Caenorhabditis elegans: one gene and its partners. The protein of the gene in region 1 purifies or fractionates together with the protein of each later gene. This does not show direct contact. Each region holds a gene or a part of one and is shown on either strand. Other genes may lie near its edges.

Region 1 (3,374 bases):
TTCGTATCTACAACATGCGATTCTGCCCGTGGGCTCAACGTGCTCTAATCTATGCATCTGTTAAAAATATACCGAGCGATGTTATCAATGTTCACTTGCAAGAAAAACCCGACTGGTACTTCTCAAAACATTACAAAGGACAAGTTCCGACATTGGAGCACGACGAAGGAAAGAAGCATGTTATTGAATCAGCTGTGATTCCAGAATATTTGGATGATATCTATCCAGAGACTCGTATTCTTCCAACTGATCCTTACGAGAAGGTTCAGCAAAAGTTATTGTTGGATAGAATCAGTGGACAAGTGTCACCTGCATTCTACGGAGTCGTTCAAGCTGTCAAAAATCCAGATCTCCGCGAAGAAAAATTTGCGGATATCAAGAAGGCGTATGATAATGCTGAGCAGTTATTGACTGGAGATTTCTATTCAGGTATTTTTTAAGAATTAAGATTGAGAATGCGAAACTTATAAAGAACAGAAACTAAGTTGTAGTTTTAGTCTTGTGTATTTTAAAATTATTTGAATTAATTTCAGGAACCTCAAAACCTGGATTTGTTGACTATCTTCTCTACCCGAACATTCAACGCGCTTACTGGGCAGCACACATAGTTCCAGATTTCCCATTGGAAGCTGAATCGTTCCCAGGACCAAACTATCCAAGACTATCCAAATGGTACAAGGCTCTGGAATCGATTCCAGAAGTTGCCGCTGCCAGTCAGCCAACAGAGAATGGGGTTGGATTCTTCAAGGATTACCTCGGTGGATCTCCAAACTATGACTATGGATTGTAAACATTTGTTATTATATTTTTAAACTTTGTGTTGTGGATGTGAATATGTGGAATTTAATAAAACATTTCTCGATATAATAATGATTTTGTTGAATTAGAAAAATTAGAAAAGTGGACGATTCTAAAAACAAAAGTTACAACGAAAATCATCGAAGGAAAAAACAACTGAATTCCAAAATAGTTTTCAGAGGTGATCACAAAATGTTCTCAAACGATATATATTCTACCATCAATAATTTTATTGGCACTATATCACAGTCCATAATTCCTGTGCTTTAATTATACTTTTCAGTATAGAACAATATGCTATATTATCAAGTTATGCGTCCAATAAACACAATTTATTTTTCAGACTGAATTTAAGCCATATTGAGAATAGCGAAATAAAAACGTAGAGGAAATTTGTGATCGCCATTCACAATTAATTCTTAGATCGCAATGATAACAAACTTCGATTCAAAAGTCATCATGCAAATTCACCGTTCTCGTGTGTGTGTGTTTTTGGAGGAAATAACACAATTTTGTGACTGATTTTTTTACAACATGTGGTTTGTAGCATAGTTCAAAGTCATTCTAGAGGGGGCTCAGAGGGAGTTCTTTCGCTATGTCATCGTTTGTTTTTGCACACCAAGAAAAATGAAAATAAATGCTCTAGGATGTCATGGATCGTTTCCATTCTTAATAAGTAGAAGCTAGGATTTCCTATACAAAAATAAGTAATCTTCGTTTCTACGTCTATCAACTTAAATTTTTGTATACAATCCACTTTGGTAATATTCAAGGCCTTCCTGTAAAATGTTTTATGATCAATCCGTTACACCAAGAAAACAAGTGCAATTTGTCATCATGTAGGCTTCCGCCTGTGTTTACTTCCTTCCCCCAGCACAACACTGACTATTTATACCAAATTAATAATGCAGCATTCCTCATGTGATAACTCGTTTGACTTTTATATCTTTCTACGTGCATCTTTCAAGCTCGAAAATTAATTTTAAAAATTTACATTGCAGAACAATTGCGGAACGAAGAAGCATGTCAGTCCTATCAGGATTAAACACTAAAGTTGTCAAAAATGGTACGTTATTGAGATTGTTTTTGTCTGACAACTGAATTACCAAGATTCTTTCAGGTGATCCAGCTCCAGCTCCACCAGCTTCAGGAACCATTCGTATCTACAATATGCGATATTGCCCATGGGCTCAACGTGCTCTAATCTTTGCGTCTCTCAAAAAGATCCCGACCGAAGTAATCAACATCCATTTGGATCAAAAACCAGATTGGTTTTTCACGAAACATTACAAAGGACAAGTTCCAGCACTAGAGCACGACGAGGGAAAGAAAATTGTGATTGAGTCAGCTGTGATTCCAGAATATTTGGATGATATCTATCCAGAACCTCGTATTATTCCAACTGACCATTACGAGAAAGTTCAGCAAAAGTTATTGTTGGATAGAATCAGTGGACAACTTTCTTCTGCATTCTACGGTGTTGTTCAAGCGGCCAAAATTTCTGATCTTCTCAAGGAAAAACTAGTTGAACTTGCAAAAGCATATGATACAGCAGAGGAACTCTTGACTGGAGATTTTTATTCAGGCACGAAATATTTTAATATTGAAACTAATCAGTTTAATTAAAATTAATTTAATATTTAAATCTTCAGGAACATCAAAACCAGGATTTGTCGATTATCTCATATATCCGAACATTCAACGTGCTTTCTGGACTTCCCATATCATCAAGGATTTCCCATTAAAAGTAGAATCGTTCCCAGGACCAAACTATCCGAAACTATCTAAATGGTATAAAAGATTGGATTCAATTCCAGAAGTTATTGCTACCAGCCAACCAACTGAAACAGCAGTTGAGTTCTTCAAAAGCTGGATTATTGGAGCACCAAACTTTGACTATGGATTGTAAATATCTTCTCTTCGTTACAAATTGCATATGAGTATTTGAATGTAAATAAACTTTTTGGAGAGATTGAAGCAGACTTTTTTGTTTATCCAGAAAGTAAGACAAAGAGGGAGATGCTATTAGTGACAGATGATGGTTGAGAATAAGAGAAAAAGGATGAAAACGACGAGATCTGATTGTTGTCTCTCGTCCAGTCACTTTCCATTTCATTTTTATAGAAATACTTCGGCGACGCGGATGCGTGTCTGCTTCTTGCAAACTATTCTTCCTCTTATAAAGTTGGCTTTGAGGATTTATTTTTTTTTGAAAATTGTTTTCTTTTAACTGACACCGGAGTTTTATTTCTATAGGTTTTTATGAAAAGTTTTATCATGAAGTGAACTTGTCACCTCTGTTCGGTTTCTTGTGTTTTTGATATTAAGTCTAACTGTCCCTTTTTATGAAATGTAATTTTTTTAATTTTGTATAAGCTTCATACAGTACGGACGTTTTGAACATTTGATGAGTCAGAGTTAAAGAGAAAACTGATAATTTTTTTTCCATCTTTCTCCTCACTTGTGAATAAACTAAACGCATTTCTGTGGACGTTCCAAGTGTAATATGAGAGTTGTTTTCATTTGGAAATGCGGGAATATATTGAATCTTCCATTAGATGTTCAGGAATATATAA
Region 2 (3,101 bases), on another chromosome or scaffold:
ATTCTTGTAATTTTTCGCGAAAATCTCCTTGACTCGCTCTTGATTCACCTGGAAATTGGGAAAGAATTAAGGAAAATTGAGGAAAAAATTAATTTTAAAAAAACCTTCTCAAACTGCTTGGCGAACCGTTTCTGTGGTCGTGGTAGATCCTCAATATCGATTGTTTCCAGCATCTCATTGTCCTTCTTTTTCTGGAAAAATTTAGCTTTTTTTATAGATTTTGTATCCAAAAAAAAAAAAAACACTTTTTTTGCAAATTTTCGGCTTTTCCGGATAAATTCACGGTTTTCAATCATTTTCCGTTAACAAATCCTTGGAAAATGGTATATTATAGATTATTAGGCTAATTTCAGAGTTTTAGCTGTTTTTTTCGGGGATCAAGTCTTTTTTTCAGTTGTAGAACTTGAAATATTCGCTGAAACTTCAAAACTGGCCTGGAAATCGATTATTTAATATTTTGAAAATTTTTTTGAAGGAAAAAAAGTCTGAAATTGCAAAAAAAACTGTCTGAATATTACAACAAAAAAAATTGAAAAAAAAAACACGAAAATTTAAAAATTAATTGAAAAATAATTTTTTAAGCCTAGAAAAATAACCTCTAAACTCTACAACTTAAATATAAACTAAATTAAATCTAAATTTATCTCCAAACTAAAGGAAAACAAAACCAGATGCGAAGCTGGCAGAGCAAAATTGTTTAGATTATATTCCAAACTTTACTTTTTTTTGTTGATTTTTTGAACTAAAATCGAATCTTGGATCGATGAATTTCACGAATTTTAGGCTTTTCCAGACGAAAAAACACTCCAAAAAATTTAAAAAAACTCACTTCAATTTGTGAGAACTTCGTCGTCTCCGTCGGCAATTTTTCCTTTGTGGCAGCTAGACGGCTCGTGCTGACAAGCCTTCGGAATGCCAGTGTCCGGCAATTGAGCACAGCGAGCATCTGATATTTATTTATTTTTTTTTTCGATTAAATTGCATTATTGTTGTCAATATCACAAGGTGTTCAAATATCAAGGGAAAATGTTTGAAGCAGCGGCATGAGATTTATATTGATTTTCATATGAAATGGGGAAATGTGTACTGAAAACTTTATGAAAAGGATAAAAAGAAAGAGGAGAAATGGATGAGTGAATGGCATTTTATATCAGAAGACACGATCTTTAGAGGAGAAAAGTGTAGGGAAAAGGTGAAAGTATTCGGTTTTTTTCATGAATTTCATAATTCCTATAATTTTCTGACAGAAAAATCAATAATTTTCTTTCACTTCCGCGTATCGAACGTGAAAACGAAACAAATTCGGGGGCATGTTTGCTTTAGAAGTCTCGCACTCGTGTGAAATGAGCTTCGGACAGAAAATCACTGATTTAATGTAAATATTCAAACATTTTTAAAAATAAATTGACTAAATTCATTGAATAATTGGAAAAAAAATTAAAAAAATCAGTACAAATCGAGGAAATCCGATGGAAAAGCAGGACGAAAAAGCATTTCATTGTTTTTGTTTCCCTGGCGCTACTTCCAAGAGGAGTACACACGAGGTGGACGAGAAAACCCTCGCGGCCGCAGTTGCCCGCGAACTTTTGAGCGTTTGAACTCTCAAACTTTTTTATCAGTTTTCAGTGACAATGAATTCAAAATCACTCTTTTCTCGAATTATTCGAAATTATTCGAAGCCTTTTCCTTTTAAGTGGATTATATTTACAAAATACACCACTAATTAAGACATTTTTCAGCAATACGATGTCGAGAAACGTGGAAATCAAGGCAAAAGTTCAAAATCTCGATGAGACGGTTCGCCGCGCCGTGGAAATTTCCGGAAAACAGCCGACTATCTTGAAGTGAGTTGAATCAGAATAGTTTTATTGGAAATCAATCATAAAAATGTTTTATTATAGGCAGCATGACATCTTTTACGAGTCACCGAATGGCCGCCTGAAGATGAGAAGCGTTGAGGAGAACGGAGTGGTAAATAATAGTTTTCTTTTTTACTTTAAAATTAAAATTTTGATTTTTCAGGCCCACACAGAGCTTATTTGGTACGATAGATCTGACGTGGCTGGCCCGAAGCTCAGTAATTTCAACAAATTCGACGTTCCATCTGAAGTTCTTGATGCTCTGAAGCTCTCCCTCCAATCCTCAATGGGAGTCAAAGGAGAGGTGAAAAAGACGAGAACTCTGGTGCTCCACGGTCAAACACGAATTCATATTGATCGCGTCGATGGGCTCGGTGATTTTATGGAGTTGGAAGTGTGCCTGTCGCCTGAAGAGACTCCAGAGCACGGAGAGAAGATAGCTCATGAGATTCGGGAGCTGCTCGCCGTGCCAGAGACCGATTTGCTCACTGGTGCCTATATGGATATGTTGAAGGCTTGAAGGCTTCAATTATTTGTTAAATTTGAATTTTTTTTTTTTTCAATAGCTCTCGGTTATATGTTGTTATTGCGGATACATAAAAGTTTATGCATCAGAAAGTTTTATATTTAATCTTGCAGGATCATAATCGCTAATCTCCACAACAACAAAAAACAATTACTTCAAAAATCTGACATCATTTTTTGTATTTTTCTCCTTCCTTTTATCGAAAACCTTATCAATAGAAATGTCATTTCAGCTTTTCGATTTTATTTTATTTTTTTTCTCTCTCTCTCTGTCTCTCTCTGTCGTTTTCCTAAAATTTCGTTGAAACAGAGAGGCTCAGACAATGAGAAAAACGCTTCACTCACTCGATTAATGTGCGAATTTGGAAGCCGGAGAGTGGAAAAAGAACGGAAACAAATAATGAATAACTGATGCCGATGTTGATTATGACTTTTTGAAAAGAAATAAAGAGGAAATTTTAGTTCAGAGATATTTTTTCATCAATTCTCACTATTTTTATGTTATTTTAACTAGTTTTACCCTAAATAATTGTGTGCAGCTTTGATTCACGTTCCCGCGATTTCTAATTTTCCAATTATCTGTGTACTGTATCCCCAAAAGTACGCGAATACAACCAATGCCCCCAATATTACGACAGAATGACACTGAAATTGTCTGAAAAACCAAGCTTGAATCTGAATTTCTACGTTTAAAATGCTAAAATTTGAGAATTCTGT
Region 3 (3,780 bases), on another chromosome or scaffold:
CAAGTTTACCACATGATCTCTGTAAAATACTGGTGTCGCATCACTTTTCATCGCTTTGAGGAACAAAAAGTTGCGCTCATCATCCGAATCCAATGGTTTTCGGAGCTAAAATAATAGTTAAGATTTATAGATTAAAACAAACAAATTAACCTCTTGAACATTCGTTACGGGATCTCTGAATACTCTTGGATCGTACATATTTGATGTGGAAGTCGTCGAAGAAATCCATCGTTTTTGAGCGAATCGCGCCAGTTTTGTGGTCATATTTACTACAAATAACAATATTAAGTATTTGATAATTAAATTGCAAATCATGAAGCTTTGAAAACTGCAAAAATATGCGAAGAAAACTCGGAAATCAATGGAAAATCCGTGGACTCGCTCGTATTTCGACACAAGAGTGCAGTGGAGCATGCTTGCATACTCTGCGTCTCGTCTTTTTGCATAGTCTATCGTCTCAATAAACTGGGCGCGCATGCATTTCGGAGTATTGTTGCTAGACATTTATCACTTTTTGTTTTTTTCCTGTTTTCATCGGCTTTTTTCTGAATAATAATAATACAGTTTAAATAAATTAAAATTCCTTTTTCTTATTTATGACACCTTCCTTTAGCTTTTAAAATAAACCTGGTTTATTTCGTGAAGAGAAATCCTTTTCATGTCATAAACGATTTTATTTCTTGCTTCTTTTTCAGTATTTCCGCTCACTCAGCCCCCGCTCATTCCGTGGAGAATATCAATGTGTCTCGTTAACGAATTCGTATCGAATAGCAATGTAAAATCTCGTTTCAAATGTATTTATTCTTTATAAAACAAAATTATTTTCAGATGAAGCCGGCGCTCAACGTTTCTGGCGACGAAAAGGAGCTCATCCTTCAGCTGCGTCGTTATCTCGAGGAAAAGCTCACCTATCTTCTAGATCAAAATGGTACAGTCAGTATTGGAGTTTCCGGTGGATCGATGCCACGAGTCTTTTCGAAAGCTATTCTCTCTTTGCCACAAGAGCAGCTGAATTGGAAGAGGATTCGAATTTTTATGGTTGATGAGCGTAACGTTGATCTGGATAGCGAGGAAAGTAATCAGGGAGAATATTTGAGATTATTCCCGAATGAGCTCAGAGACGTTTTTGTGCCCATGCAAATTTTCAAGGATCCCTGCCTCACCGCCCAACACTATGAAATCAGTCTTCGTAAATACTTGCTCCCGGAGCAGCTCAACAATACTGCTCGTTTCGATATTCTTTTCCTTGGAGTTGGTCCAGATGGTCACACTGCAAGTATCTTCCCTGGAAAGGAGCGGCTGGAGAAGATTACCGAGCTAAATTGGGTTTCCGTCATCACAGACTCCCCGAAACCTCCACCATCTCGTATCACACTTACTTTGCAAACTCTTCAACACGCCAAAAACGTTGCTTTCATCATTTGCGGGAAACAAAAAGCGGAAATTGTACGAGGAATTTGTGATCGTGATCAAAAGTATCCGGCCGCTCAAGCACGTCCATTCAACGACAAATTGACACTATTCCTCGATGAAGACGCAGCAACTGGTGTACCGGATAGAGATTCGTCGGATTCTGACTCTCCTCCACCGTTTGACGGATGAGCAGCATCTTGTGTGATATTAAAATATATACCTAATTTCTTTTTTTTTTCTCTGTAATTTTCTCTTATTTTTTTCATTAAGTCGCATTCCTCCTTATTCCTTTAATTATGGCCATCATCAAAGAGAAACAAAAAACCACAAAAAAAAATTCAAATCGTCGTGAAAGTTTTAAATTGTTTCCGGATTTCCTCCAACTGTAAAATAAAATTGCAATTTTTGAATTTATGAAATTCAATTTTCTAAAATATTGTAAACGGTTCATTACCGTGAATTACTTTTTTTAGATGCGGAACTTCAAAAAACTACAGGATCGATCGGGGAATTTGCTCGTTTTATTCTCTTTTTCGAATGAAAATGCGATCCAATTTCAATCTCTTATAGAGTAAAAAATCGTGCCGCAAGGTTGCAAAATTACGCCCCGCCTCTATTTCTGTGCGACGTTGTTTTTTGCAAAATTCATGGATTGAAATATGTCAAAATTACTGAAATATAAGGATTATTCTAGATATTTATGCCTCTTATCATTGTTACCGGTCATCCATCGTCTGGAAAATCTACAGTTGTTGATAGATTAGCGAAGAAATTCGAGGAAAAAGGTAAAAATTGTGTATTTTCTGCTTTAAAATTTCTTAAAATTCCCATCATTCCAGGCAAAGACTATTTGATAATACGGGACGAAGATTACGGAGGATTTGATCGAAAAAACTACGAATTTTCGAATAAAGAGAAGGATCTCCGATCTTGGATTCGATCTCAAGTTCAACAGAATCTAACGAAGAATAAAGTTATAATATGTGATGCTTTGAATTATATCAAAGGATATCGATATGAATTATTCTTAGCCGCTAAGATGAGCAAAACCACGTATTGTGTCGTCGAGTGCTCGCCTCCCGTCGCCACGTGTCACTGGCTCAATGAGCAGAAGCCTGAAGTGGAGAGATATCCGAAGGAGATTATCGATCAGTTGATGATGAGATATGAAAGGCCGGATACGAAGTTGAGATGGGAAAAACCATTGTTTGAGGTTAAAATTGGTACTGCTGAGAAGTGAGATTGGAAAATTAATTGGAAAAAAAAATAATAATTGTTTCCTATTCCAGAGCCACGCCTGTAGACTTCGATGAGGATATGGCGATAGACTTGGAGCATCCTGCTCCGAGATTTGCGAGCATTTTTGAAGATGAAATTGTTGAATGGATTTGTAATGTAAGTGAATCCTAAATTATCGAATAGAAAAATAATTAGTTTTCCAGGGAACAGAGCTCACAGAAAACCAATCAACACAGACAGTCCCACTGGCGCCGACAAATTTTCTTCACGAGCTGGATCGATCCACACAAGACGTTGTTACAGTGCTTTTAAATGCTCAAAGAACTGCAGTTCGCGGTCAAAACCTGACGATTCCTGGAGCAACAGACGGAGCCAATACGATAAAGTTTATGAAATTGAGAACGCTGCCTGAGCTGAATCGACTGCGACACCAATTTGTGAACATGTCGAAGAAGGATCCGACAACTGATAAGGAGAAGATTATCACGGGATTTGTCGATTTTTTGAATTGCAATTTGAGATGATTGTTTTGTTGTTTGTTATGACTTTATTTGAAAATGCAGAAAAATAAAAATCCAAAGTTTTATCATGTATAGGCTTGTGAGTAGACGGTGAGCTGAAAACAAAATTCCGATTCATTTTAAATTTTGTAAATTTAATTACCAAGGCTTCCAGCTCAGGAATCGCTCGAACTGCACTCAATTTATATGGATTTGTATTACAGAATGTGATTGATGGGAAGTTCGACTCTACCATTCCAATCTACAATTCTTTGGCTTCAATAAAATAATAAAGATTTAAAAAAAAAAGCGATTTAAGAAATTTACATTCAGATTCACCAATTTTTGAAACGAAAAGTATTGGCGAACGGTGACGGTGATAAGGTAGACGAACAAAACGGCGCTGATAATGAGCAAGGTTGTCCAGAGAAGGATCGTTGGCCACTGGAATCATGGAATCTCTGAATTTGAAGAAATATTTGAACCTATTACTTACTGAAAGAGATTGAGCCATGTGAGGGATTCCATGCCACGAACAAGACAATCCCCACTCGTGTACAGCACTTTTTGTTTTTCTGAATCCGAAAATCTATGGAAAAAGCTAGAAATTTAGAGTTTTTTTTATCTT

The links.
Region 2: the proteins of gsto-2 (region 1) and F35D11.4 fractionate together in Caenorhabditis elegans (co-fractionation; one large-scale study listed by BioGRID). This does not show direct contact.
Region 3: the proteins of gsto-2 (region 1) and Y57G11C.43 fractionate together in Caenorhabditis elegans (co-fractionation; one large-scale study listed by BioGRID). This does not show direct contact.

The regions. Positions count from the first base shown.
Region 1 is NC_003281.10:8,552,975-8,556,348, forward strand, and holds gsto-2 (putative glutathione transferase omega-2), read left to right. Parts: upstream 1-1,797; 5' UTR 1,798-1,821; coding exon 1,822-1,864; intron 1,865-1,918; coding exon 1,919-2,383; intron 2,384-2,450; coding exon 2,451-2,707; 3' UTR 2,708-2,770; downstream 2,771-3,374. Other genes in the region: C02D5.4 (Glutathione S-transferase omega), read left to right, coding at 1-429, 534-790. UniProt on the Caenorhabditis elegans protein: Exhibits glutathione-dependent thiol transferase activity. Has dehydroascorbate reductase activity and may contribute to the recycling of ascorbic acid. Participates in the biotransformation of inorganic arsenic and reduces monomethylarsonic acid (MMA).
Region 2 is NC_003280.10:4,601,688-4,604,788, forward strand, and holds F35D11.4 (CYTH domain-containing protein), read left to right. Parts: upstream 1-1,739; 5' UTR 1,740-1,746; coding exon 1,747-1,844; intron 1,845-1,901; coding exon 1,902-1,971; intron 1,972-2,022; coding exon 2,023-2,379; 3' UTR 2,380-2,474; downstream 2,475-3,101. Other genes in the region: coa-3 (Cytochrome c oxidase assembly factor 3), read right to left, coding at 1-48, 105-191, 830-946.
Region 3 is NC_003282.8:14,767,462-14,771,241, forward strand, and holds Y57G11C.43 (Protein KTI12 homolog), read left to right. Parts: upstream 1-1,979; 5' UTR 1,980-2,113; coding exon 2,114-2,198; intron 2,199-2,252; coding exon 2,253-2,649; intron 2,650-2,702; coding exon 2,703-2,808; intron 2,809-2,855; coding exon 2,856-3,176; 3' UTR 3,177-3,238; downstream 3,239-3,780. Other genes in the region: mrps-7 (Small ribosomal subunit protein uS7m), read right to left, coding at 10-105, 151-264; Y57G11C.3 (Putative 6-phosphogluconolactonase), read left to right, coding at 740-775, 829-1,602; degl-1 (DEgenerin Like), read right to left, coding at 3,239-3,268, 3,316-3,414, 3,480-3,596, 3,649-3,727.